Styela clava: one gene and its partners. The protein of the gene in region 1 purifies or fractionates together with the protein of each later gene. This does not show direct contact. Links are inferred from orthologs where the notes say so. Each region holds a gene or a part of one and is shown on either strand. Other genes may lie near its edges. The genes, in order: TATA-box-binding protein-like, transcription initiation factor TFIID subunit 6-like, transcription initiation factor TFIID subunit 4-like and transcription initiation factor TFIID subunit 11-like.

The links.
Region 2: the proteins of TATA-box-binding protein-like (region 1) and transcription initiation factor TFIID subunit 6-like purify together in Drosophila melanogaster (affinity purification with western blotting; 5 studies listed by BioGRID, with this or other methods). This does not show direct contact. The link is inferred for Styela clava from reciprocal best matches to the Drosophila melanogaster genes Tbp and Taf6.
Region 3: the proteins of TATA-box-binding protein-like (region 1) and transcription initiation factor TFIID subunit 4-like purify together in Drosophila melanogaster (affinity purification with western blotting; 7 studies listed by BioGRID). This does not show direct contact. The link is inferred for Styela clava from reciprocal best matches to the Drosophila melanogaster genes Tbp and Taf4.
Region 4: the proteins of TATA-box-binding protein-like (region 1) and transcription initiation factor TFIID subunit 11-like purify together in Drosophila melanogaster (affinity purification with western blotting; 3 studies listed by BioGRID, with this or other methods). This does not show direct contact. The link is inferred for Styela clava from reciprocal best matches to the Drosophila melanogaster genes Tbp and Taf11.

What each region holds. Positions count from the first base shown.
Region 1 is NC_135253.1:12,137,226-12,145,314, forward strand, and holds the start of TATA-box-binding protein-like, read right to left. Parts: upstream 3,116-8,089; 5' UTR 2,989-3,115; coding exon 2,866-2,988; intron 2,594-2,865; coding exon 2,455-2,593; intron 1,891-2,454; coding exon 1,763-1,890; intron 1,601-1,762; coding exon 1,473-1,600; intron 1,300-1,472; coding exon 1,212-1,299; intron 1,053-1,211; coding exon 793-1,052; intron 296-792; coding exon 201-295; intron 117-200; coding exon 37-116; 3' UTR 1-36. UniProt on the Drosophila melanogaster protein: General transcription factor that functions at the core of the DNA-binding multiprotein factor TFIID.
Region 2 is NC_135256.1:4,776,878-4,784,158, forward strand, and holds the start of transcription initiation factor TFIID subunit 6-like, read right to left. Parts: upstream 3,025-7,281; 5' UTR 2,994-3,024; coding exon 2,811-2,993; intron 1,988-2,810; coding exon 1,916-1,987; intron 1,354-1,915; coding exon 1,185-1,353; intron 540-1,184; coding exon 346-539; intron 1-345. UniProt on the Drosophila melanogaster protein: TFIID is a multimeric protein complex that plays a central role in mediating promoter responses to various activators and repressors.
Region 3 is NC_135262.1:5,622,924-5,630,781, reverse strand, and holds the start of transcription initiation factor TFIID subunit 4-like, read left to right. Parts: upstream 1-4,788; 5' UTR 4,789-4,823; coding exon 4,824-5,301; intron 5,302-5,985; coding exon 5,986-6,167; intron 6,168-6,761; coding exon 6,762-6,851; intron 6,852-7,484; coding exon 7,485-7,562; intron 7,563-7,858. Other genes in the region: protein LSM14 homolog B-like, read right to left, coding at 396-615, 1,257-1,432, 2,076-2,196. UniProt on the Drosophila melanogaster protein: TFIID is a multimeric protein complex that plays a central role in mediating promoter responses to various activators and repressors.
Region 4 is NC_135264.1:15,684,766-15,691,774, forward strand, and holds the start of transcription initiation factor TFIID subunit 11-like, read right to left. Parts: upstream 3,081-7,009; 5' UTR 3,038-3,080; coding exon 2,920-3,037; intron 2,362-2,919; coding exon 2,259-2,361; intron 1,660-2,258; coding exon 1,561-1,659; intron 1,172-1,560; coding exon 1,015-1,171; intron 494-1,014; coding exon 338-493; 3' UTR 1-337. UniProt on the Drosophila melanogaster protein: The TFIID basal transcription factor complex plays a major role in the initiation of RNA polymerase II (Pol II)-dependent transcription.

The DNA of each region.
Region 1 (8,089 bases):
AAGAAATCTTCAAATGTGAAGCCAAAGATATAGACTTCAAGACGCTTTCTTGAAACCTTTCAGAATTGGGTAGATGTTGTTGAAAGCTTCCTCTATCTCTGATCTCACTTTTGCACCTGAAGAGAATAGTTTAATTTTAAAATAATCCCTAGAATATGTTATATGATTAAAAGATAACTTGTAGTATGGGAAACACTCACCAGTGAGTACAACTTTGCCAGATACGAAGATTAGAAGTACAATGCGAGGTTTCACCATTCTGTAGATCAGCCCAGGAAAGAGTTCAGGCTCATAGCTGTAAAATGAAATTCTATGTTCAAGTGCCCAGATTCCACGATGTATGTGTTAACTTATGTAACATTCCTAGAAGGTTTTCATAAATTATAGAAAGTATAGGCCAGTGCTACTCAACTGGCGGTCCGAAGATTCGGACCGCGACGAATTCTTTATTTTGGATCATGAGCCCCACTATTGAAGTTTTCCTTTTATAATATCACTTTTCATAGATTTAAATATATATGAAAAGAACTATAATGCCATAATAAATATTCTTGATTAGCTAATAATCATTAGTCGGTCGAGGAAGTGCGGGTTTAATAAGGATGCCCAAATATTTTTGAAGTTTTGTATGCCGATTCTCGGTAAAAATAGTTGAGTAGCCCTGGTATAGGCTACTGATTGTAACCATTTTCAAACGTTCACAACTTGGCAGATCTACAATTTCCAATGCATATATAAAGAAAGATAGGTCTCTAAAATGAAAAATTCCATCAGATTCATTTAAGTACCAACCTTGAGAATTGTCCGTGTGTTAGTACAAGGCCTTCCAATCGAATTGGAAACTTCACATCAACACTTCCTACCATGTTTTGTATTCGAAAATCTAAAAATTTTGCTGGAAAACCCAGTTTCTGTACAACTCTCGCATATTTTCTGGCAGCTAATCTTGAATTAGTTTCACTTTTAGCTCCTGTGCACACCATCTTGCCAGAACTGAATATTAAAGCAGTTGTCCGCGGATCACGAATTCGCATAATTACTGCAGCAAATCGCTAAAAATACATATTTACATTATTTTGGAATTTTTGTCAGCTTACTGGTAGGTAAGTTGTATAGCTAAACAACCGACCATAATAGAAGAACTACAGGTAATCATGTTTTATATCAGTATCAAAGATGCTTTGGGCTAAATAAAATAAGTGAACCCTTACCTTTGGGTTATATTCAGCATTTCTAGCATGTAAGGCAATTTTCTTGAGATCCAACTTACATCCTAGATTTACAGTTGACACAATATTTCTGAAAAGTAAGAAAAATAATAACATCACCTATCATGTTTGAGTCTTTATTTTTTTTTTTGCAAGTCCACATGAAATATATTTTACATCATTACTACATGTATCAAATATTCCACAGAATTTCTTCCAAAGTAATTTAACATATGACACAGAACAATCAAACCATATACTTACTGTAACATTGGTGGTCCGACCCCAGAATCTGCAGGAGTTCGAGGAGTCATTGGTGTTGCTACATTCACACTCAAGGGATAACCAGGAGTGTTCGCATGATAATTACTCAATGCGCTAGGAGTGGGGACCTGTTCAAAATAAAGGAAATATAAAACAAATCATTTCGATATGGTCTGCCCTATTGTCAAAATAATACCATTGGGTTTGATGGAAGAAAAAAATATACTCATCATAAGACACAAGTAATGGTAAGTAAAGACCTGATTTTCTGTAACATACATGTGACATACTTGGAGATTGGATAAAGGTGCTGGACTCATTGCAACTGATGTTCTGTGCTGTTGAGCATCTGATCGTTCATCTTCGTTCTGACGATGTGACCTTTGACTTTCCAAAGTAACAAAGTGTTGATTGGATGCTAATGAAAGGAATGATATCAATCGTTACTCCTTGATGCCTTATAATACAAATACCACAATTAGTTTTACAATAGCTTGCAGGAACATGGTCTATTACAGACGAACAAATAGTGAAGGCCAATTGATACAAGGAGAGAGGATTTTATTACTCATACATCAAAAAATGGTGAAAATTCAATTTTGGTATAGCAATACTGCCTTTGTGAAATCAAAATAAATGAATACCCAGGCATAGAAGCATAAGGTAAGGTTACACTAGCAAAAATATGGTATTGTGGGTCCCACATTATCTGGGGATATAAAACACAACTGTACACCTAAAAACAAGACACGACATATGCTATTACAAGCAAGGAAATTGCAAATTATTGCAAGGAACCTATTGCAGTTCATTTTGCAAGGTAAGTAGACTATGCCACTTTATGGCCGACTAGGATTAGCAATCATACATTGAAATTCAGATATTTGATCATTCAATTAGCCATCGCATATAAAGCAATCAAATCGGAGGCATGTGAAAAAACGAAGTGTACAGTTGGAGCACAATATTAGACTTAACAAACCTCCAGGTTGTGTATTTTGTTGATGCGATGGAGCTCCATACATTGGATGGCTTCCATACATTCCTCTTGGTGGCTGTTGGTGATGACTCACAGCGTTATATCCACTTGGATTTGGCAAACTTAATCCAGAACTTCCAGCCTGAATATAAAGCAAAATACATGTCTAATTTGGTAAGCAATTACTGAATCTGACAGTGACTTGCCCTGGAATATCCATTCTTGATAGAACAATAGCCTAAATACAGACGGTACTGAAATATCAACCAGTTCTGCAGTTAGGCTATATCTACGTATTCACCAATAGTTATAATGAATTTATAGATATTGTTCATTGGCAAGTAGACAAAGCAGTACAATAATGGTATTGCAAACCTTCACCAGGTAAGGATGTAAATTCAGTGATTCACTTACCTGATTTTGTGATAATTGTGGATTTGCCTGAGAAATCAAAGGCCGTTGTTGTCCACTAACACTCCTTTGTTGTAATATTCCTCCATGTGGAATAGTGCCTGGAATGACTCGCTGTGGATTCATCGTAAGGCAGTAAAAATTCAGGAAGTTAGGAAACACCGCCTTTCGAACTCAAGCAAGAGTAGTGACCTACACAGTCACAAACAACGAAGATACGAACAGCGACGACGTCAAAAATGAATGACAGCGCCCCAAGCGGAGTGAAATAATATCATTCAACTTTTTTATTGCGTCATTTCCTTTATTTTTCATAGTGATATTAAATTCCAATTTATTAAAAATAATATGTAAAAATTAAAATGATATATAAGTTTATGTATTATTCAAAATTTCTCGATAGCTAATGCGTACTGTATAGATTGAGACTAAACAAACTTTTTGAACAAAATTTTTTTACCTCCAACAGTTTTGTTTCACACAAAGCTTCTAAATACTACACGCGCACACTTAATAAACAATTGAATACGTGTTAATTTTAAAATAAAATCAGTCAGCATGCATTGATAGCTTAATAGTGTTTGAGAGCTAAAGTGGTTTACAGGTTCAAAGCATTATTTTTAGTAAAATAGTTAGCCATGTGCCGTGTATGGGAACTGAAAGCAAATTATAGCCTTGTGCCCCAGTCTATCGCAGTTTTTTCGTCATAGGCCGCGAGCCGAGGCCATTTATCTTTCAGTTTCGTAGCGCACATCAGGTAACTACCTGAAAATGATTTTAAAATGTTCCTTAGAAATTTAGTAACAAATATTGCCTTGTTCCCACTTCCAAAAGTTGCACGTTTTACAGAAAAGACGCTTTTACTACAATAAATATGTGTTACCATCTGTCCTATTTTCTCTGCTTTTCCGGTATCATGGGCCAATGAACGCAGACTTCTGCACGACGTAACAGTCAAGTTAGTCAGCTGTAGGTGGAGACCCAGTGGTCGGATGAATATCAGATGTACTACAACTGCTCGCTTTTGCGTTGAGTACGGTAGCCTTTCTATAGTTTTTTTCAGTTACCGGTAATATTAGTTCAGTTATTCTAAGGAGGTGTTGAAAAGTATAGGTAAGATATTAAACACTTGTATATCCTTACCATAACAAGCAATTTCAGTTGAGCACTAGCTCATAAGACGTTGTTAAATAGGTACGGTGCGGTAACTCCAAGGAAGGCTAGACCTAGAATAATATGTCACAAACAACGATATTTTCTGGCTTGCATGAAATGTTTATGATTAATTTAATGACTCTTTTTGACTATTCAGCAGACTTATACTACTATATAGGCCACAGCATATTTGGAAATAGAAATGAATGGCTGTTTCTGTAATGCACGGTTGTGTGAAAGAGAAGAAATTAATCAATTTTCCTAATGTCGGTTGGTCTAAATCTAAATTCATAGAGTCGACAAGAACCTGGGAAGCAATGATAAGTTATGCCGGAGTGGAAAGAAAGGTAGCATTGGAAACGATTGAGAGGTGAGAAATCAAGTTGTAGACAAACAGTTGATGTTTCAAAATATAGTCTATAGTCCATACTCATACTGTCATAGGACATTTCAGACTGTGATATATCAAAATTTAGTGTAGATATAGTCTAGTAATGGTATGCAAACACTGCTGGACTGTAGTACATGCAATGAGCATATACCGGTATACGCTCATTTAGTACATCAGATAAAATGCATTATATATTCAAGGTATTAGTTAGTACCGTATTTAGGGGTATTTTTAAAATCATGCTGCTCCAAATATTATTTTCTTCCTTATTTTAGATACTGTACTACAAAAGAAAACGGCAATGTTCCACCAATCCGACCTAACGCAGGCTCTGATCCCTGCTGCTATCAGTGCTATAAAATGGATTAAACAAGAAGCCTTGAAGCTTAAAGGTATATGAGAATCATAATAGTTGCAAACAGCTTAGATGGGCTATTCATATTGAAATACTTTAGCACTTTTCTGCAATTGGAACTGCCCATCAAATTCATGTTGGAGACTTCATTGAGATTTTCAATTCATTTATTTCCCTCGACTATGAAGATCTTTTGAGGTTAACGAGGCATTAATAAATAAAGCTGAGGAATTTGAAGAGGATATGAAGAATGTAAATGATACCAGGGCACGTCTATTTAACACTGTCAAACATAAGGATTATACTCTCCACCCAACAATGATTCACTGAAGAAGCATGTGGCCCTCAAATCAGTTCTTGAGTTGGCAAACTGCAAAGAAAAATAGTCAAAATAATTTATGAAAGTGTGCCAAAATCAACTTAAATTGCACAGATTTTTGTTTTTGTTTTGACTGCAGAAATCACAGTACACCTATAGAGGAAAAGTCGATTTTTGAGATAGTGGATTTCGAAAACAATTCAGAAGAAAGTGAATTAGATATTACAGTTGATTTAATAAGTATCATACTCATACATTTGTTTGTTTTTTCGGACATTTGTTAGTGTCGTAGTCCTGTTTCTAGAAATATTATTGCCTTTTCAAATACATAACCACATAAACTAAAAAAGATTAATTGTGAATTGTAATATTTCTGTTCACTATGTTATGTACATATTGTACATTCGTTTAATTTTCTTGACTTGCGGTAAATTTCTAAGTGAGAAATAACTGATTTATTTGTGTTTTCGTGCTCACGATGTTAATTTGTGACTTCATTGCTAAAAAATAAATAGGTTTGATAGCTTCTATAAAATGGATGTAGCTTTTCATGCTGTTCTTGTTGTAAACTGCTTGTGGTTATTACATAAAATTTATTCGCAAATGTGAATCAGCGTTGTTGGTGTCGCTGCTTTCGAGGTCACTCCCGACTCCTGTCACACAATTAAAGTATTTTTTGTTGTTGGTTACATGTATGCCATATTTTTCGTAATCTACCTAATAAATTATGATTGACTGAGGAAGTCCGATTTTGGTCAGGCAAAACATTACAGGAATACATTTGTGTTAGTGTGCTGTAGGGCTCTCGAATTGTATAGTTCTTATGTATGTGTTGTAAACTTATGGTTATTGAATTTCCGGGAACCTCTTATATTCAATTTCGCACCAGGATTGTGGAACAAGCTGTAATGCGTTCATTATGTTCGTTTTCACACAAAACTGAAGAATTTATTTAGTTACCAGATGTGCGCTACGAAACTCATTTTCTGGGCGTTTTCATGGTTTCGTCTCACGGCCCATATCCGTGGTAAGGATCTACAAGTGTTTAATAACTTACTTATACATTTTTCAACAACGTCTTAGCATAACTTAACTAATAATAACTAAACAGGGCTATGGAAAGGCTGCCCAACTCAGCGCAAGGTCGAGCAGTAATACCTAATATTCATCCACTCGCTAACAGCTGGTTTAATTCAATTGTTACGTCTTGCAGAAGTCATTGTTCCTTGCCGATAATGTAGAGAATATAGGACAGATCGTAGCACATATTTCTTGTAGTAAAAGCTTCTTTTCCGTAAAACGTGCAACTTTTGGAAGTGGGAACAAGGCAATATTTGTTACTAAATTTTTAAGGAACATTTTAAAATCATTTTCAGGTAGTTACCTGATGTGCGCTACGAAACTCACTTTCTAGGCGTTTTTCAGGGCCTCGGCTCGCGGCCTATCACTGATTTTTGATTATTGTTACTAAAATGAAGCTTATCGGAAGACATAATGAAAAATAAAATATTTGATATACTACTATTTAGGGAAACCGACAAAAAATACAACCTACTACAACAGTGGTACCCCGAAAATAAAATCTAGTCTGAATTAGTCAACAACGCAATCTCTGGCTATATACGGTACTCGTGACCTAGCCGGACTTGTATAATGATTCTAACATATAATGACAACCAATTATTATTGAATTACTATTTTTTGTTCTGTGCTTCAAATATTTATAGTGTGACATTATTTGTGAAAGAAAAACTCTCTCTCTCTCTCCTACACAATATTATTAGGTTAACTATGATATTACGACGTCAAATAAATTTTAAAGCGCATATGACGTCAATGTGGAGGGGGAATAAATGAAATGGTAGTGGCCAAGCACCCCGATATGGTGGATGTGCGTAATGAAAATGACTGTGGTTGCAATTCCATAATAATTCAATCCAGTAATTCCATAATAATTGGTTGTCAGGATGCCAGAAATAAACACTCAAAAAATACGCGAATGTAATAAACTTACGGGCTGTTGTATTCTTATGAAATACTCAAGCTAATAAGGACCAATTTATTCTGATACAATGACAACGTGTGTAGGTGTATTGTAATGTGATAAGGTGACGAGAAGCGTCAAAAACCGTGAAAACTACATTGATTTGGCATTGGTGAAAATGTGATACAGAGAATCAAGACACATACAAACAAATCAAAGCAATGCTGGTAAATTCTGCGCTCAGCGGCTCAGGCAATTATAAAAACAACAAAAGAGCAGCGCCCAAATATATGGACACATCTGTTCGCAGTACAGTACGGTTTACCGTACCGTCAGATCACAGTCTACAACAAGAGAGCTGTGCTCAAATATATGGACACGTAGCGCCACCTAATGGCAATAATTTTGATGGCGTCTTAGCAAAAAAAGAGTAATAGCCTTCTGAGGAAAATTTTTATCTTTAACCACTGAAAATTTCAAAGCAATTGGTCTAGTAATCAAAAAGAAAAGCGATTTCTTCAAAACGTGTCAAAGAACAACACAAGAGAGCTATGCTCAAATATATGGGCACGTAGCGCCACCCAATGGCGATAATTTTAATGACGTCATAGCGAAAAAAAAATAAAAGCCTTCTGGAGAAAAATTTTATCTTCAACCACTGAAAATTTCAAAGCAATTGGTCCAGTATTCGAAGAGAAAGGCGATTTTTTAAAAATGATGGAGACAAATAACAATAACAACATAATATTGAAACGATCGTTATGTCTACTAAACGTGTCCAAAATTATATTCACATAAAGCGAAGCAGTACAGTAGGACACAAAATGGCGTCCGATGACCACAGAACGTTCGGTGACGTCTTAGCAAACATAAACAAATGTCACGGAGCTAACAGAAATATTTGAAATAAATAAAAGTAATAGATTTCTGGAGAAAAATTTCATCTTTAACCACCAAAAATTTCAAAGCAATTGGTCCAGTGATCAACTAGGTGTCCGAAAAGTGTTGAACAACAAAAAAAAC
Region 2 (7,281 bases), on another chromosome or scaffold:
AAACCATAAGTGAATCTACCACTTTATTTTGTAAAAGTTTCTCTTCAACAACAGTAAAAAATTATAATAAAAAAGATCTTATATTTTTTTTACCATCACAGAAATTTTTACGACCCTTATGAATCAACCCTGTAAAATGTTTAGTCTTGGACTATTTTAATCAAGCGGGGTGGGGTGGGGAATTTCCACTATTTAAATAACTATAAAAATAGAATACGATTCAGTATTCTGCATTTGATTTAAGTCTTTTGAAATAGTATAATATTCTACATTGCCCATATGCTGCCACCGCAAAAGTTTTGATGTTTCAAGTTTCAAGTAACTCTGAAAAAAGTATAGTCTAACCTTGTCCTTAGTACTAGTTTCATGTGTTGCATTCTTCAAGGGATTATTTGCAGGGACGATGGAACTTTTCAAAGGAGCAGAACCAGGTAGAGGTTTAGATTCTGTTTTATTTAAGACATCTAGTAAAGTGGTTTGCTCTGGAGCTGGGTTCTCTGGTATGCTTGGTTGGACTCCATCGATTGCTAGCCAGTGAGCTGTAAATACAGGGAATGGTGATGAGTGAAAATAATCAAACTGAAAATATTTCACTCTACAATAAATTGTAGCTCTTTATGTATCAAAGGATGATTGGTTTTTGTCCAGGGTCCTGTGGGCAGTGAATATTAAATAATGAAACTCAAAAATATATCTATTACCATGAAATATCATTCCCATCACTATCAGAGTATGCAAATATCTCACCAAAACCAGTACTGTGAAGTGCAGGACTGTGCTATTAAAAGTGCTGGCAGTTGTAAAAATTGATAGAAAGTAATAACCAAACTAAAATATTCCAGTTCTACAAAAAATCACAACTTCCTATGTAATAGTGGGTGTTTGTCTAAGCCTTGTTTGAAGAGAATTATCACAAATATAGTTTGGATGGTCATAATATATTACACCAGTGCATAAAAATCCATCTGTAGAAAATCAATGTGATGGATAAATTTGTCAAAATTAGTAGTAAAACAACAAGTACCAACGACTTGAGAAAAAATTTGAAAGCATATATGCAATAGCATTCTAGGAAACACCTCCACCTCCCCCAAGTAATTTAAAAGTTAATCAAGAAGATTTCTAGTCCAAATAACAACAATTTAGCAAAACGTTTTCTAGTGTCCATGCAGGAAGACATTTACCTTTCACGGCGATATCATATGGAACTCGTGGCAGAGGGTTATTAATCAGTTCGGTAAGATCAATTTCTTTGTCCTCGACAAAATGTAGCTCTCTACCGCCCCCACTGGCAAATCTGAATGGTATATAATCTTCTGCGACGAACCCGTATAATGGTTCAATGTTTTTTGACTGAAAATAAAAAATATGTGAGAGTCTTTGTTCCAATTGAAGTATGAACGCAGTTATTCTGGCATATAAACAATCTGTCGGAGTAAAACAAAAGTAGCATCTGCCACATTTTTCAGAAATAGATTTTTTTGTATAAACCATGGGCCATTTCCGGGACTCTGTTCCAATTCAAAGCTACACTTGCTTCAGTTTAAATTTTAGTATGTTATGTTAATTTTTGGTTTGACTGTTAGAACTAAACTATTGCGAAACACCTTCAAACCCTTGCATTTATTTTTATTTATTAAGGTTTGAGCTAATAAAAAGGGAGGATACAAAGTTTTGTGTTACACTTTTCATAATAACACTTAAAATAAGTTTTCAATGTTATTTCATCCTCCCACAGATAATATTTGCGAACACGCTTGAAGCCTTAACTTTTTATATACGAATGTAAGTGAGCACATAAGGCGAACCTATCTTCCTGATTACTTGGAAATTATTTTGGACATGGATTTTTTGAACAACTTGAAAGTATGTATTTCTAACTTATTAACTCAAGATACTAACGACTTAAGCATACCCTCAAAGCTGAATCAACATCTCTACACGTCAGAATCTTTGATTTTCTGTGTGTTGAAAATTTCAATGATTCCTATGAATGAAGTAAAAGTAAATATTAGTGAACATTGCTTAGCACAGTATCTTAAAATTCAGTAGGGCACAGTTCTACAATCCCAAGATTTCCTAACATTTGGTTCAATGAAACAAACACTCTATATGTCTCTGAAACGAGGGGGTATGGCACAGGAGTGTATGTATCAGATTGTGCAATGCTTGTCCCGATAATAATCAAACATCACCAAAAATCCATTTTTTCTGCTAAAAACTCTCGAATGCTACAGTAAAGTTTTTATTCCTTTTGTGAACCAGATTATTTGTTTTTCCGGGGAATCGAATTGTGACATTTTTAGATTGCGCCACCTTTTAGTTTATTTCACAAAGTTGGTTTGCCGATTTATGCCGATATGGAGAAAAAAACTGTCTCGTTAAGGAATGGTTTGCACTCACTGATATAATTGATATGTGGGAGCTATTCTTGGAATCTGAGAACAGTGTCATACTGAGATTGGTCATCTGGTTTAAATTCAATTTCATAAGATGTTAATTGTGAATGCCAGAAGATTCTCTCAAAGTTAGGTCATGCTTCATGGGTGAAGGAAACAGAGACTGGCTAAATATTGATTCATATAGAGAACTCCATTATAGACAAATAGATAGGAAAAAACTTCACGGAAGGAAATCATGGAAAAGACTAAATTTAAAATATAAAAAATTCATAGACCTAATTTTATAAGTAGTCAAAACAAAGTGATAATGAAAATCTATCTAATGGTAATTTTTCTCAAAGTGTTTTAGTTAAAAATTAGAAAACGCTGAACAATGAAATTAATATGAGAAGAATTGTAATCACTAACTTGTATAATTTCTTTCAATCTATAAGTTGCCTCTTCTGCCAAGCATGACAAAGTGTCTTCAGTTAATCGAGCGACACCAGCTGATTCGCTAACGGTTTTGACAGATTCTGATGAAAACGCAGAAAATCTGTCAGGTCGAACTTTGCTTTCTTTTTTCACACTTCGTTTACTTGTATCAGCCATTTAAAATAATGTAAATACTCTAATACAGTAATATGCTGTTAAAAATAACAGTGGATAATATACAGTTCAGCAGTTAGTCTATACGCTAATACTGTGATGCTAGTACCGGTATGCAGGTATGTCTGTACGTATATTGCTAAAACATTTTTCTTCGTAAACCTGGGCCATTCTGCTATGGCAGTACAGCAGTATGGCAATGATGTTGGAATGTTACGGTACGCCAGGACTACTCAACTATTTTCCCCAAAGGTCCGTTTAGAAAACTTCAGAATTATTGGGGTCCGGACATTACAGAATATTTTTTTCATTAAATAAACGAACGTCTAATGATGGCTCGTAAATATATCTGTATATACACAAATGTCGCATATTGGTACCAGTACAACAAACTGTAGACTATAGCTAGGCTACCTATGTACCAGTATTTAAATTGTATCAAATCCTCTAAAACTACCAAACAATGCTTATGCTGCCAAAATATACAAGCAGACACGGTCCAAATTGTCGAAAGGGCCGGATTCGGACCGCCAGTTGAGTACGGTACCGATATTGATAACCTGCTCACGATACCGTTTTAACGCCATTGAACAGCTTACTTTAATTCATATTTGTCCTTATCCAAATTCAAACACCTGTAAAGGATACAAGTACCGAACCTGGAAGCAGGAAAGTTACCGGTATGTTGGATCCGCGTCATGGCCGTAGCGTTTGTTCATGCTTTCAGACTTTCAACTTGTGTTACTTGTGTACTGAATACTAATTTTTTGTTAACCTGTCCTATCGTATAGGCCTGTAAGTTTCCCCATCGCCGCTTTATTTTAATTAAACTAAAACACCGGGTTCTAAAAACGCTTCAAATTCACTCAAAAAATATAAAGTGATTATCTGACCTCTAACCTCCGAACCTGCTAATTACGGCTGCTGCGCCCTCTATGGATGTTTGCACGAGCATCGTTTTCCCTGTTTATTTTCGTAACAATGACCAATCAACAATAAGCCAACAATGACGTCAAAATTGCAATCTGTAAAGACGCTCCGACACTTCTGTCGTTCAGACAGATATTTGAGCATTGTTGTAAACATTGCATCGTTTTGCGTGTTATTTGTCAGTTTTTAGTTGTTTTTCCAAAAATCAGTTGTAAATCAAAAAAGTTGATCGTCATTCTGTCTTCCGAAAAGCTTTAGTCTAATTGCAACAAAGGAATTTGGTTTTAAAAACGCTACGATGGACTAGACTAAAATTAATTATTAGTATCTGTGAGCTGTGCACGTGAATATTTATTTTCAATATACAAGCCAGTTAGCAAGCGACAACCAGCAGAAACACTTTCAGAATAGGCATTGAAAATCTTGAAATGGTAAATAATAGAAAGAATCTTTCTGGGGTCAAAGGTTGGGAAAACATCCTTATTTATTTGGGCATGTTACAATCGTTGGGAGCGAGTAACCGTGACATGGTACGAACCTGGCAAACTGGCAAAACTGATCTGATGAAGTAGGAATTTTAGGCAATTTTAAGTTCAAGTAATATTACAGTTGCACTGGCCATCTTTCCGGCAATGTAATTCCACCCTAACTCGCCAACAGAATATATTTTTATATCTTTAATCACCATTAGGACACGCTGAGAAAGCATTCGTATCTACTTAAGAATTATTGTTTCAATTTTTGAATAAATTTGTAAAAAGCGTGCTAATAAAAAGACAAAAATAATAAAAAAAGGAAAATAAAATCATAAACGAAATAAAATCGATATATATGTGTTAATGATTGTGAATTTTATATTATTTACAAGCCGTTCCTTCGTCTAACCCTACATAGAAAGTTGTAAAAATGCTCAAGAGGGATTAGCCTACGGAGGAAATATAATGTGCTAAAATCAATCTTTTTGTGCAATGTATCAAGCACTAAAGTTAGTAAACGTAATTTTATTCACAAATCATTTAACAGAAGTGTTGAATTATATATTACACAATTTCAAGTTGTTATTAAAATCACAACGATGGATGCAAGAATACTCGTAGCCCCGTGTAAGGCAAACCTTAACGCAGTTATCTCTTATCTCTTTCAGAAAAACAGTTTTATGAGTAAGAAAAGTAACGAATACAAAATGTAAGTATTGCCATATTAAAGTTCGGTTATATTATTGTTCTACTTTTTTCGTTCTTCCTTTTTTGTGTAATTGATTTTTATCAATTCATTCGAAAACCTGAAAATTGCAACAGCACTTCCTGTTACTCGCTGAAGAACAAATCGATTAACCAGTGCAACGCTTGCGAATTGATGAAATGCGTCAACTATACATTTCCTGCGTTGATTTCCTAATAAAAAGCCGTTGAAAGCCTCATCTGTGTCAACTGCTAGGTTTCGTTAATAACTAGCGAGTATACTGTTAACAATTTCATGTCATATACTATTATTTCGTTAATACATTATTTACATATTTTGAACCGAATTTACTTATGTCACACACATGCACAAATTTTAGCTCCTAATGTATTTCCATCCAAATTTTTGTTTATTTTTTATCAACGCAAATGTGATAGCCTTGCGATTTTAAAAACTCCAGTTACGACCAGTAGCCTCATTTGACGAGATTTAATTAAGAAGACGAACCTAAATTTGCAAGTGTTTGGTGTTTCCAGTTTCTTCGAATTTCCTGTCGTATTGTGCATGTTGTCTTCCTGAATTTCACGATGTGTTTCCAGATTTCCGTTTTCGCGTTTTGTATCTCTGGTGTGCGGTGCGAAGATTTCATCCTGTTGTTATTTCAAAGAACATTTCCAGGCGAACGATTGCAAAATATCAGTCACGCAAGGACAGAGGAAAGTGATAGAAGCAAAGGTGTTTCAAATTTTAGGAGTCTTCCAATTATTGTATACCTCAGTAGTTTTTATGGTCCGGTGAAAACAACCCAGTTTGCACAAAAATACAGTGTTAACGTAGTGAGAATGTGATTTAAGAAAAGATTTACATAAAAACAGAACTCAAGTTTATCTGAGTATTAGGTTTGTTGTTATCGTTTGGATATCTGATTAGTTATTTTCATCTTTTTCAAATTTTCGTCCATTTTTATTGGCGCAAATGTGATAGCCTGCAATATCAAAATCTTCAGTTACGACCTTGTGCGATATTTAAAATGACGAAACTGAATTTGCAAATGTTTGGTGTTTCAAGTTTCCTTCATTTCCCTGTCGTATTTTCCTGAATTTTACGATGTGTTTCTAGACTTTCGCTTAATTTGCGTTTTGTATATCCTTCGTGTGCGGTGCGGAAGTTTCATCATGTTGTTACTTTTAAAGAACATTTCCATTTAAATCCCAGAGTTTGCATTTAAACAATTCTATTTTTAATGTGCTGATGTGATATCCTTGCAATTTCAAAATCTTCAGTTACGTCTAGTAACCCCCGTGTGCGAGATTTTGGAAGACTAACCTAAATTTCCAAATTTCCGCTTTATCCGAGTTTTTTTTATGCTTGGTTTGGGGTGCGGAGTTTCATCATGTTGTTGCTTTTAAAGAACATTCCAGACGAACGATTGCGAGATATTAGTTACGCAAAGAGTGAGGAAAGTGAGAAAAAAAGGTGTTTCAAATTCTATGAGTTTTCCAATTATTGTATGCATCTGTAGTTTTTAGTGTCCGTTATAAACAAAAATACAGTGGTAAAGTAGTAAGAATAGGATTGCAGTAAAGAACAAGGGCACAACTACATAGTAAAAAAAACTCAAGTTTATTTAAGTATAAGATTTGTTGTTATTGCTGGGATATCAGGTATGCTAATTGTTCTTTTTTTTAATTTTTGTTAATTTTTATTGTTCTAGCCTAGCACTATTGTTACGACTGCAGTTACACGAAATCTATATAGTTACACAAAATCTATATTTACGACCGCCTTGTGCGAAATTTGAAACGACGAACCTAAATTTCAATATATTTGCAGGAAAGAGGGAAACTTAGTGAGGGTTACCAGAGTATTAGATTTGGGGTTTCATTGGAATCTCAGATGAGTTATTTGTATTTTTTACGAATTATACCTATTTTCAACAGTATAGCCCAGTTATCAGTTACGTTGGTTCGTCTTCTTCAACTAAATACAAAATTCATGAATACTATGCGTGTTGCTTTACTTGTTTACTACTGCAAATGCAGTAGACTTATAGGATATTGAGTCATTCTGCTGCTTTTGGTTAATAGTTTACGTATTTCAACTTAAAGTCATTCGAACCTTAAAATTAGAAGCACTGCGTCATAACAACAAATAGCCAGCAACAACAGCAAATACTAAT
Region 3 (7,858 bases), on another chromosome or scaffold:
AAATCAAATTTTGATTACAAAAGTTTGGCATATGCAAGCCTTCTTTAATTATCAGTCCACTCAATGCTTTTGGGTTTCATCACATATCTTGCTTGACCTCGATTACTGCCACCAAAATTTGTGAGTATCACAAAAATTTAAAATTTCAGTTCCTATCTGTCGACTAGCGGAGAGAGTTTGAAAATATGACACAGACTCCGGCTTGAAAATGGAAACGTGCCATATTTCATAGACCTGGAGTAATGTGCTATCCTAATTCTAAATAGTAATAGCAGATCTTAAGAGTTTTTGTGCCCATAAATTCGCTCTGAGATGTGTCTACATTACACCTGAGCGCACATGTGCGACACCCTTGTGAGGAAGTTATCTTATTTAAAAAAATAAACAATGGTTACCTTGTAGGAGAGGCTTCTGTTGGGCAGCACCAGGCTGTGGATGTGCAGATCTAGGTAGGCCAACAGGTGGTGGTGGACCGGATGGCATATGCGGTGGTTGGTTTGGGGGTGGGACCATGTTGTACGGAGGCATTCCATATCCATACGGTGGCATGTATGGTGGCGGCATATGAGTTGGTGCATTAGGAGGCATTCCAGAATGCTGAGATGTCACAACAGACTGTAAGAGGAAACAAAGGTAAATGCAAAGAAAAGCTATAAATTATATATAGGATAGGCCTATATCATATATCTATTACGTAGACTTCAAGTCGAGGAACAATATATAATTACCATAAATTCACAAAAATAAGTCGTCATTTGATTGAAAATGTCATTACAGCAAAAAATTTGATTTGCTCTATTATACAAGACTAAAAAATAAATATATCTAGAAACAATAACTTTTGGGTGTAATTCCATGTGCTAAATTTTTATCTAGTGCAGTGACATGATAGTGGTGGTAATATACAATACACTTGGCTGGAAAGAGACAGGAAGTCAAAATTGTTTCATGTTAGAATTATAAGAACAGGGTCCAAAATAAATGAAATATATACTAAATTAGTTCTATTTGATATAATAAATGATTTAGGATAGTTTCACTTGAAAATTTGACATTTTCAAGTATTTGCCATCTGATGTTCAGACAAAAAATAAATTCCATTAAAGTTCTTGTACTATAAAAATAAAAAATTTGAAAAAGAACATTTCCAACTAATCTGCATTATCAAATTATATTATATCCAACTTGTTTCGAGTTAAAGACTCGTTCCACTCTGAAACTTGTATTTACTTTGAAGCAGATAAAATTCATTTCACCTGTACAATAGCAGGATCTTGTGGCAAAGAAGTCGTTGGTGGCTGCTGTGGCTTCGGAGGTTCACATACTGTCAGATCTTCTATGTCGCTTCCACGAAATATAATATATTCATATAAATCATCTCGTGGAGGGACTACACATTCGGTCTGCCGATCTTCTGTGCCAAATGATCGAACTGTAAATGGAATAAAATAAGTTTTTTCTTGGAAAATTGTGCCAAGCATTATATATCGGTAAAAACTCTAATAATAATACTCAATTAACTGACATATGCATAATACAAGATAATAAAAAATGGTGCAAAATTGGGAAACTATGATTATGCTTCATTTTAACTAAAATTGATGAATTGACTGATATATCACAGCATTAATATTCCTTTTATCTGGAATAGCGAATATAATAATTAGGCTTGTTTTTTCAAGTTAGAATGAGGCAGCTGGTAGCCGGAATGCAGGTATATTTTGCTTTGTATCTTCCATAAATTTAAGTGAAATCTGTGGTAAAGCCTATTACCACAATGGAAAGCATGGTATATTTCAGTTTTTGGCATCAGCATTTTGTCTGCAATACCTAGACCAGATTTTCAAGACTTCAAAAATATAATATTAATCATCCTTATTATCAATTCAATAATATAATGTATATTATTATGAAGTCAGGAAGTATAATATTTTGCAGTTTAATTTATACAATATATAAATTTTTGCTACATATAATCAATATTCCTCAAGTAAAATTTATAATAAAACTCGAATAAATAAATTGTGTAACGAACATCATAAATTGACAAATTTATAAGGAAACGTAAAATATACCTTTTGCCAGAGCAACTGTAGCATTTTCAGCATCAATCGTGAACAAAATTCCTTCATAACGGATTTTTGCCTTTGATATCAAACTAATCCTACTGCCGATATATGGAGTTCCACAACTCATATCGCCAAAAAACTAGGAGGTAAAAATTATGAAATATTTTTATAGTTTTTAAGAGTTACCAAACACATCTCAGTATCTGCACATACAGACATAAAAGATTTCCAAGAGAACGAGAGAGACAGGTTTTTATTTCCAAACTCTGTCATTATGGTACATTTTTTTATTTACAAATCCAGTCTACATATGTGCTGCAGTCCATTAAGAACTAACAAACTAAGTTTGAGATAAACAATGATTTCCCAATTTGCACTGCTGAACAGCAAATATCACATCCCACTACGGTATTTAAAAAGCAAATAACCAATGTGACACCACCTGACACGGATAGCCAAATAACTTCAGAGCTTGTTTTCATTAAAGCTGTATTACCATTGATACTATTCCGAGTATATTAAATCTCAGAGAAAAGTCCTGCCTCGTGTAAATTAACAAGAAAGAAACGATAACTAACAGTTTGATTTCCTACCAATTTGAAATAGCGACAACGGATAAGGCATGAAAACACTTCATGACCCGCGTTCAGATTGTATGACGCGTTGCTCTTAATCGCGCTCTAGTGTTCGTCTGAAAATCCATTTTTTCTTTTTTCTGTGATATAATGAAAAATGAAAATGAGAGAAAAAGAAAAAAGCAAAATTTGAGGACCGCGGTGTGAACCACTTGTTATATATGAAGGGGGTGTCAGCGGAGACTTGTTTTATAACGTAAATACACTGATATTTGTTTATTCGATTAAAAAGATTGTTGTATAACATAAATTTACATTTGCAATACAATAAAAATTAAAAAAAAAATTCATAATACAATGTTTTTAATTTTTCATATGACCGTACTTCATTTTAAAACACGATCCATTCCCTTGAATCGGAAAATGATGACGCATGCGCACTTCATTCTTGTTGTGAAGGCCGTGGAGTAGTGATGGCGCCCAACGGGTCGCTGCGCTTCATTCGCGCCCGAGGTTTCGAGGTGTGCATTTGGGAGTTGTGAGTTGGTGGAGCTAATGGCCCACTGAACGATCATATAGTTAGTTGCTAAATACATTTTTTTACTGATATGTTTATAGTTGTAAAGGGTGCTTGACCTGTTTCGAATATTATTGTCAGTCGTTTATACATCAACTTTCAGCATTTCTTTTAATAATCCTGTAACTGTGTAATGCAAAAGAAGTGTCTTGTGATATAGGATTCTTGACATGTTGTTGTTTGACAGAGCACAACAATCAAGTACCAAGGTACAAGATAATACAAGTATTGGGTAACATATCTGGGTGATAGTGACCTATTGCACGACCAGTATTTAATATCTGAATATACAGATAGGCATATGAAACTACAGAAATCAGGAAATATCTGTTCAATTATGACAGTACTGCAGTATGAAGAATACTTTTATGTAAGGGTGTAGCCTATCTAGTATAATGGTTATGTATAGCAGTGCAGTCATACCGATATGGTATTGTCTAAAACCACTTTTAGACTTGTTAATATTGTTAATTTTTCATATCATATTGCTCTATTGGGGTATTTTTAATTTGCCCGATCTGTCTGTCAAACCCCTCAGGTTTGGATCGAGCATAGCATGTGGTAGCATTGCACTTAACGGGTCTAGTATAGTTTAGTACCACAAGAACTTCCAGTGGGCGTAACATAACGAAATTTGCGTATGTTATTCCTAATCCCCACCTGACTATACCATCCAAAAATTACATCACTACGACGTCACAATCACATAATGGAGCTTGCCAAAGTACAGTTACAATCACCCGAAATGTCATCTGCGCCGCCCATAATGAACTCACTAACGCCCGCGATCTCTCTCATAGCGTGATCGTTGTGGCGAGAAAACATGATGGATAGCTTGCTTGATTTTGAGTGATCGTCTGCGCGTTCCGCATACTTTGTAGGGACTTTTAAGCCACTGTGACAGATTTTTTTGGTGACGCAGTCAGGCGGGGATTGGGAATGACATTCAAAAATTGTTGAGCCAGACCAACTAGAAGTGCATGTGGTACTAAGCTATACCAGACCCACACAAGTAATAGATAGGATAGAATTTATATATTTATCCCGGGGGAGAGGAAAGACGGCTTATCCATATGTCGAACCACGGCCTCTCGTCCGGTTACCATTCAAAGTCGGGTATGGAATTAGTTATATTGTTTGTTTTCGGAAGCATGGACCTGGTGGTGGAGGAAGCCGTAACCGACCAGCGGTTACGTGAACTACCCAACGACGGCGAGGAGTCCAGCAATCCTCTCGCACATAACCATCCCTGCATGGGATTCGAACCTGCGAACCCACGCAGAGTAATTAGAGGTGCGGTGGCTAGCGTATTCCTAACGCTTAGCTCGTTGAGCCACACCGCTGCGCCAAACACCGCATCGCTCAGTCATTTACTCATGTATATATCAAGTTTATTGCACCTTTACAATTCCACAAATAAATGCAACTTTTTTATTTCTCTCTGTGGGATTGCGATTAAATGACTAAGGTCTTTTTCGAGAGATTCTAATCCAGATCTCAATGCAAAGATTTATTTTAAGAACTTGCAATCGTAGTCAAAAATTAATTCTAAATATATTTTTTCAAGGTGATGTATAGATCTAAGCTGTTTTGTTCAATGCAATGAGGGTTAGCCCACCTGGATCGACGGACACAGTTCTCACATCTTCATCAAGTACCCCAAACACGTTGAACAGCTATAATTCTGGAATGAATAGTTTACCTCCATTTTCTGCAGCAAAAAACGGAGTACAGCAGGTCAGGACTGCTAGCCCGGTCACCTCTCAGCAGCAAGGGATGCTTAATGACTGGTCAACAGGTCTAAATGAGGGCTATGGGGCCCCAACCCCACAACAGCCGACCCTAGTTTTAAATTCACAGTTGCCTAAAGCATCCACACCTGTGGCAAAACAATTAACGACTCTGACCACAGTAAATAAAATTCCACAACCAGGAATGCAGCAATCAAATACTGGTTTGCAAAATAATTTATTGAATCCTACATCGAAGGCTCAAGTTTCTACGACTCAGCCAATGGTGACTGCGCGTCCTCAACAAGGTGGTGCAGTGCAACTAGCATCTGGGATAACTATTCCTCCAGGTTAATTTGATTTCTACTTTTTATCTAATTCCTTTTTCATACGCTATGCAGTCACAATGGTACATAATTATGTACTGGAAACTCTCATGGACTATTGTTATTGGGTCAAAGGTTCCTAAGTTTTTAATACGACAATGCAGTGGATGAAGAATTTATTTTTTTCAAACTTAAATAATAAAATTAAAAGTTTTAAAATATATTCAAACTTAACTATTACGATACATGAAGCTTGTTTTCATGCACATGTCCTTAGCTGTACTGTTTCACCACGATAATTTTCCATCATTATTCAAGCTTGAATATTACAGCGACAGAAAACCAGTCTAATACAAGTTGGATGTGGCAAAAGGGATCAAAACCCCCTGGAACAGGCTTAGCTATATATACTGAAAGTTAATATGTCCCCTTTTCTTATTTTTTCAATTAAGTGAACTGTATTTTACTATCAAGCATTACATTCCTATATAAAGAGTTATGTTCCACACAATATCATAAGCCCTCGAATGTGGAACTGATTGAAAGTTGTTGAGCATCGATACAGGGCTGTTAGTGAACATGCTGAGCCTATCTACACGCTGGTTATATGGTTTGATGGAGCTTTTTTCTTGATTTACTTCCTGTATGATGAATGATCTGTGCTTTTCGCTGATTTCCCATATTACTTTTGATTCCAACCGTATACAGGTATGGTTCTAGCAAGACATCAGAATGGACAGTTGCTGCTTGTGAGTAGTAATTCGTTGTCATCGTCATCTACTACAAATACATCCACAGTTCCTGTAACTCAGACCGCAACATCTGGGACCGTAACAACGTTGAAAAATTCGACAACAGCAGGTGTTGGGACATCATCACCTCAACCCGCAGTAAGTATTAAAGTTGATAACAAAGCAAAGATCAATTATAAGTGCCCAGATTTTAAATGAATACTGGAATTTTAGCAAAATTTCTGACATTTTTTTTTAGTAATTGTAGGTGTTTCACAGATGTCATATAACAGTATTTCTGTGAATTGGAAAAAAAACAGCAAAATTTTGAGTAGGACAAAATTTGAGCAAAATAGAAGTAATAGCCTCCTAGGGACTTATTCCACATTGAAGTACTGAAATATGATTTTATTAGGTCTATTAGTTGCAAGAAAACAACAATTACAATAGTTAGCAAAATGGTACATGTACTCTTTCTACCCAATAAGGGAATTTTGAAAACACCTGCCTCAAATTTTTTGTAAACATTTCTGTATGTTTTATTCTGCAAATGTTTTGCACAAATCAAAATCTTACCACGATTATGTAAATTTGCTTTTATCGTATGAAACACAATCGAGCAACTTTTTATTGCTAATTTCCATTCCATTCTTTTGACAATTTGTTTCATATCGTCTTCTTACAAAAAAAGTCAAAGCCAGGCTCAACAGAATAAAGGATGAAAAAATCTATTGATTCCATTTTTCTATTAAGATAACTGCAACAACAGCTGGTCAGGTGGTAGCAAGAACAGTGGTTCCAGTTACAAATTCAATTAACCTTAAAGCTGTTGCTGCTAAGCAAGTAAGTATGGAATGTATTTTTCACAAAGTTTTTCAAGTTATATTTATTTTATGCCCAGTATCAGTAACTCGTCTGTAATATCTTCCTTTCCATTAATACATTGTGAAATCATGGCATATCTTTGTTTATTAATAATAATAATGATTTTTCTTTTTTGATTGATTATATTAATAAGATTTATTAATTATTTGTGATTTTATGCCCAGATGATATAATATGTTGTCTAAAACCCAATAATTTACCATTCTGAAATAATATTTCCAAATATGGAATACCGAATACGTTCTGAAATGGGCCATGTCTACAGTGAAAATCACTCAGACTGTTAATAGAAGTTAAATTTGTTAATTAGCTCATCTGTGTCCTACCAAGTTCAAATGCATTCTAATACTCCATTTGTTTTCGGACACCCCTGATCTCACAGAATTCACCACTTATTGCATGAAACTTCAATTGTTTCTTAGCAATTTGCACTTAGAGTGGATTCTGCCATAATGAGTCTCTAATAGTTACCAATATACAGCATTATCTACTGTCTTTGTCTGCAAGACTTTGTTTTATATTTTTCTTATCATGTACTGATCATAAATATTTTGATCTGAATCTTTTTTTCACCAAAACATTACTTTTCAGACGGTTGCTGTCAGTAAAGTATCTACCACAAGTCCAGCGACAACACCACAGAATTCTCAATCTATAACGCTATCTCAGGTATAAGAAGTCTGATGTTCTTCACTGATTAACATCTTCTTGTAAATTCATTATCTACGAATGCAGCGTAACAAATAACAAGGCTAATATCATTTATTTGTAACTGTTGAAATCATATCTTTATACAACCAAATACTGTTCCCAATCAATTAAATCCGAAAGCCTTTGGCAGTGAATGAGGTGTTATTGTATTACTATGTGATTGCTCAAACGGGATAGACATAATAGCAATAGACTTCTTGCATAGCACCTTATCATATTTTACTCGTTGTATACTTGAATAGACGGTCCACACA
Region 4 (7,009 bases), on another chromosome or scaffold:
CGACTACAAAATTGAGAAACACGGTGTAATATTTCTTAACAATATTCCCAATATACAGGGTGTCCTACATTTGATACATCTGTGAGGGCCAAAACAATATAGTGCATTGATAAATTTCCTTTGCAATTAAAAAAAATTAAGACCTCATGGACACCCTATAATTCCAAAATAAACAGTTCTGATTCTGAAAGATTATGTCATGAAGCATCACAAAAGTCCATTTTTTCATGATTCTGATAGGAAATTGACAGCAATGTACCCATCTCTTAACCAGAAAAGCCATTCAGGACAGGCTTGGTAGGATTCGGCCTTCGGCAAAACAATTCAAATACAGGCATCATAATGGGTTAGTCTTCAGTTTAGAAAACGGGAAAGTTCTTCTGGCTTTTAATTTTCTGATTGCTTCACGAATATGTTTTGGTTTCACTGGAGGCGTTTCCCCTTGTTGCTCCATAACATCAAGTGCTATCTCCATGATTTCACCGACATAAACCTGATAAAATATAGGAAACAACAAAATCAGAAAAATTGTATCAGATTCTAGTGAATGGAAAACTGACTTGACAGTTGGCCAATTATTTCCAGTAATGAGAGCAAGAGAAATATTGGACTTCAAAGTAATTTTCTCAAATAATTTGTTAAGAAATTCGAATCCATGAGATTTTTTGTGAAAGATTTAATCCTAAACTTGGGTTTCTTGAACTGTTGGTGTTATGGAGCCTGTCAAGGGCCTGAATATTTATTTACAGTGCCCCACCATGAATTTTTTAGAAACTATTATCTATTCTATTGGAACTTATAGATAATGTCATATTTAAATTACCACCTTATTTCCACATTTCAACGCTACTGTTGTCAAATTTTATTAATGCCGTTATTCTTTGGACAGTTACAAAATTAGCCAAGTCAGTATTTTAATAAGTAAATGAATGGCTTGCGGAGCACCAAGGTTTTTCCGCACTTTGAGAATCTATGCCCTGAACTATTCCAATACAAAGATAAAGACGAGCTTACTTTGGACACTCCAGCAACTCCTATCACCACATTTTGTGATACTGTGCATCCAGCGATGGATTGCATTAATCGTTTTATTGAAGCTTTTGGAAACGATGAACGTCTGTACATTTCATATCTGTTTAATTGGTCTTCAGAGAAAGCTGTCACAAGTCGCCTAAAAATAAACAAATTTAAAGAAAAGATTTGAGCATGTTGGGAAGTCTGATGAGCAGATTCTTTACAGATCACCAACTTGAGTGTCATCTATTATCTATATAAATTCACTGTTTGTGAACGCATAACACATTTAACCTAATGTAAATACAACTGTTACAAAAGACCATCTTAATGCAACCAAATAATCCAATCAGTTCGTTAAAATATAATACAAAGCATATACAGGAGAAATGGCATGATCGTAGTTTGGCATGTTTCCATGGAGTTGGTTCAAAATTCAAAACATTATAAAATTCATAAAGAATTCATGAAGAACATTACAAAACAAAATTCATGAGAACATCAGAGCTGCTGTAAAATATAACTAAATTTAAATTTCCAACTTACTGCATTTTCATTCTTTCAACTCTTCCTGATTTTTCTTTTTTTCGTTTCGCTGATAATATTTCATCAGCAGTTGCCTGTTGTGCTGACGTAGGATCTTTTCTGAAAATAAATAAAAAATTTGAAAGTAAAATATGATATAACTGATATTGGATTAATAACATGAGATTTTTCTGCCCAGTCACGCTCCAATTGGAAATTGGAGAAGTGGAATAGAGCAGCACCGGCATTAGCCCAATTAGATGAAATTATTCCGCTCATTCACGCTTCAATGATAAAAACTCGGGTTTAGTCCAGATATCTAGCCTGAGAAATTAGAAAATAAAATATGGCAGCACCGGCACTAGCTTAATTAGATGAGAATATTCCACACATTCACGCTTCAATGGGAAATTTCAGATAAAGTCTAGATATCTAACCCGGGAAATTAGAAAGTGAAATATGGCAGCAGCGGTATTAGATTAAATAGATGGGATTATTCTGCTCAGTCACTTTTCAGTGGAAAAAAATCAGGTCTAGTCTAGACATCTAACCTGAGAAATTACAAAGTGGCATGCGGCAGCACCGGCATTGGATTAATTCAGATGAGATTATTCCGCTCAGCCACACTTAGAGGGGAAAAAATTCACATCTAGATGTTTTACTGGGAAATTGAAAAATTTTGATAGTAAATTTCTTTTAACTAGCTTCTTTAGACATACTTTGGTGATTCTTTCGATGAAATTGATGTATTTTTGTCTCCTTTGCTTGGGCTTTCTTGAGGTCCTGATGGCGAACCAAACTTTCTTTTTAATTTTGAAGAACCTGAAAATAAAGATACCTCCTAAAGCAGCGGCTCCCAACCGGGGGCCTGGGGCCTATGCAAGGGGCCACAGAGGAGTTGAAGGGGACTACAATGTTAGAAGCAAAACCGCTTCTAGCATTCCTTTACTAAAAAAAGTCCCTGTTCATCACTTGTGATAAATAACAGAGGTTCTCAAACTTTCCAAGCCGCGCCTATTTTAGAATTTTCCAAGTCTTGCGCCTCACCTCAAAAATAGAAAAGCTACAAATAACAGATAGTGAGGCAAAAGTATATTTTATTCAAAAAACACATTGAATAATGTGGATGAAATTGCAATCTCCAATAATAAAGATAAGTAAATATGCAAATTAAGGACGGACAAGATTAAACCTAACAAATATTTTTATTTGCGGGGCATGCTGCGCCGTTTGAGAACCACTGTTTAATATTGTATGTATAAATAAGTATTATACTAATAATATCAACTAAAGAATATTAGTATACTACAGCAACATTTCTACCTGACCTGGTAACATCAGTTTAAAACCTTGTCAGAGCGAAGGCATAAAGTAAATTACCTGGTTTTTCATCAAAACTTTCTTCATGCATAGAGGTGTTGCTTCTTTTTGACGTATTCGCTTCAGAAACATCGGAATCGTCTAATTTTAAATCCCCATGCTCGGCATATTCTGCCATACTATAGCACTAAGCTTATTTCATAAACTAAAAACACAAAAATATATACATGTACTATGCAATATATGAACTAGGCGTGGTAAGTCAACTTGCATAAAAATTTACAGCGGAATTTGCATGGTTAGAAAATGGCATAGTGTCAATAAACAAGCATTAGGTAATATATTTCATAAACCCATCTCTATTTTCTTTATAAAACCTTAAAAAATGTGCAAGTTATAAATTAGAAAGTGATGTGATAACCTGACCTGCATACCTTAACAGAATTAACCTAAACAAAATTAACAGAATAATGCATATAAAACCACTCAAATCAATATGTATAAGTCAATGGTAAATTTGTCAGCAAGGATATTTAGTTCAGTTGCTATAAACAAAAACTAGGAGCGAGAGATATGGAGTAAATCAAAAAAGAACTTTTAACGTCAAGCAGGGAATAATTAAATCAAAATCATGACTATGAACATGTAAACCAGTTTGTGAGCCCGAACTCTCAAAATAAGCATCAAAAATTTTGCAATGATGGCATTAAAAAAATTTCAAAGGTCAGAGACAAATCAGTGTGTTCAACAAATAGCTTTTTCTGGCAAAATAACTGCTTGGCAAAATCAGATGCTTTTGATATATACAAAGTTACAATAACAGCATATACAACATAAATGAAAACCTATGCGCTAACTATAAATTTCATACTATAATATATATATAAACAAAACACTTGAAAAAAAATATGGAAGTTTTCTATTCTAAAAACAAACATTATACAAAATTATTCAAGGTCAACATTTTGTAGAAAAACTCATTAGAACCAATGGAAAGGAAGATTCATTGTGGTGTTACACCTGCCATTACAAAATGACTTGACCCATGTTCTTGTATTTCTGCATGTGCATTATCTCTGAATACATTTCCATATGCATGTGATCCTGTGTTTATTTCAGTGTACACATTTAAATTTTCTGGTTTGCTTTCTTCAATAGGCCAGACTATTATAACAGGTACATGTCTGGTTCTTTCGCAATAGATTATTGAATACTTGATGCGGATTTGTCCTCGTTTGTCACGAATCGAATCACTTGGGGTAAAACATAAATGAGAGAATCCCTGTCTCACAATATCCTTTGTGACTTCTATAATCTCGTTTTGGGGCTGAATATTAGGAAGTTGAACCTCTGAATTATCATCACATTCAATTTTTATTTCAATCTTCGATTTGAGACCAACGTTTAATCGCTCCTCAAGAGGCAAAATTCCAACAAAACCTCTTTTTTTCAAAGCTGATTCTGTGATTTCGTGGTCAGATCGATTTCTTGTTAAAACAGATATGATTTGTGCTGTCTGTTTTTGCATGTAGAGATCGTTAATAAAAGTAAATATTCCATTTTCACATATGTCCTTCTCACTCCCATTGCAAAAATCGCAGAAACGGTCCACTTCGAACACAATTTCACTTTCGGTTTTCAACTTAACATCTTTAATCATTGTCCATTCCCCGTCTTTTTCCTTGTGCATAATTTTAACTGGAATTTCCCGATTATTTTTACTGTAGAAATTTGTTTTCATCGTCAAAGTAACTGGTGTATCAAATGTTATTGAAGGATTGCATTCAATGACAGGTGTGATAGGAAGTAAATCATCTGGGAAATCATCGAAGAAATTATTGACCGAAAGAGAAAATGTAGTTTTTGTTTTAACAGCACCAGGCGGCACAAGGAGCTTGCAGTCATAAAGCCACATAAATCCACCATCTGGTCCAATTTCTTCGACCAAAGGTTCATTAGCATCTATCTTATTCTCTCTTGACCAGAGTATAGAAAACAATTTGATGTTTTGATCGAGTGAAAGGGCTGACCGTTCTATTGAGAATTTTCCAATCTCTTTGAGCAAAATATTTTTTTGTGATTTATTCATTTTCAGGGGGCCCAGCGACAAGCATTTGTGAACTTTTTGAGCTAACCTCGACATCACAAAGATCTCATCATCAGTAGGGGACATTGACACAATTCCTCTGTTGTTCAAGCAAGAAAATGTAACTTGCTTTTGCTGTAGAGCAGTGCAAAATGATGACAAACGATCATATGTTGCACATATACCCATAGCTGTAAACACTGTGGTTTTGGTGTTATTCAATAGCTCTGCAAGAAGCTCAAATTCTTCTAAATTTGTTATAGAATGACTATGAATTCGTAAATCATCCAAAATCACATTATATTCCACAAATGCATTGTTGAGTTCTACTATCTTTTCAGAACTCAAGTTATTGTCATTCAAAATCAGAGAACGAGATCCACAAAGGTGCAACACTTGGACAAATAAGAAATATGCTGCTGGTTCCAGTATTGTTGTATTCTTTAAATGAATAGTAGGAGCAGTTAATACGCCATTTTTTATAGCTTCACCTAATTTTTGAAGATTTTTGCAATCCATACCAATAATTTCAAGAAGAGTAATCAGGATGCTAATATTACAACTGAGTAGTGATATCATGAGTGGCAAATTTGTCGAGCAAATTTCAAATGTTGTCATTCGAATGGACTTTAATGACACAGCATTATTTGCGATGGACAACAATGTATTTCGTTCGCCAGGATGCAGAGAAGTTTTTGTGAAATCAAACTCTTCTGCATTGGTTGTAAATTGTTTGAAGACATCTGGGCCACATTCATGCAATATGGAAACTAGTAGTTCATCCGAAATCACTTTTTGATCCAATAATTTACCCAAGTATTCAAGCAGGTATTCAGACTTACTATGCAAGTTATCTGGTAGAAATTTTGATGCTTTTTTTGCAGTGGATTTGTTGAGAATTATTATAAAAATATGTTTTATAACAACTTCCATTCCAGATTTTTTGTAATTATCCTCGATAAACTTCTTGAATTCCTCCAAGTCAAGACTGCAAGCATACAAGGAAGCAAGTATCGTTTGGATGTGCGGGTGTAGAAAGCGTATTCTCATATCATTATCGTCGGCAACATACTCAACAAATCGGGTGTCAGCATCCATCTCAACAAGACCACGCATGTCACTCATATCCAGGTTGAGTGACTCAATATACCTTGCTGTGAAAACAAATCGATTCTCTATCATCCCAAGAAAAGCCAACTTCATGCCTTTTGGCACAAGACTTTGGACATTTCCTTTATGACGAGATCCTGAGAAAAGTCTCATAATTGAAACCATCGTAGTTGTGATATTCACATCAGCACCTTTTGGTGGATTTTTATAAGTCTCAGTTATGTATCTCATGAACAAGGGGTTTGAAAAAAGGTCAAATGCCCCATATATTTTCCAGACGAAAATCATGCTTTCACTTTTGGAGCCAAATATATTTTCTACAAGTTGATGCACTTTTCCTATATCATATCCTTTTAAGACCACGGTTCTTGGGGTTTTCATGTTTGGGGGCAATTTCCAATATGCATGCCAGCGTGATGTTGATAATAATTTAATTCCTTGGTAAATATGCCCGGATAATACATTAGCGATAATTGTGTTGGTATCTGCTACAGTGTCCACTCCAATTTTGGAATAATCACCTTCTAATGGAGTTTGATTTTGGTCCAATCCATCCAATACAAGCAAAACATTTGATGAATTCAGTTTCAACCAGTTTGATCCGGAATCATGTAGGTATTCAGGAAGTTCCGATCCAAGCTGTTGGACAAACAGAAGATCAAAAGGAGTTGTTCTTTGTTTGCTGTATAACTTAGAAACATCCACATAATAGACCATCTTAATCTCAGCGGAAAACACCAACTTCTTCTTCGAAGCCATCATTGCATAATTCAAAGCAAATATTGTTTTTCCAGAGCCTGTGTCACCTAGCAACATGACATGGTTGACCGAATCATCAGCATGGATCCTTGTAACATCAACATTTTTTGAATCATCTAATAATGCAGTCACCATTGGAAGACTGACGTCAATATTCCCTTTTTCTTGAAATATTTTCAATTCATAGGCTAACAT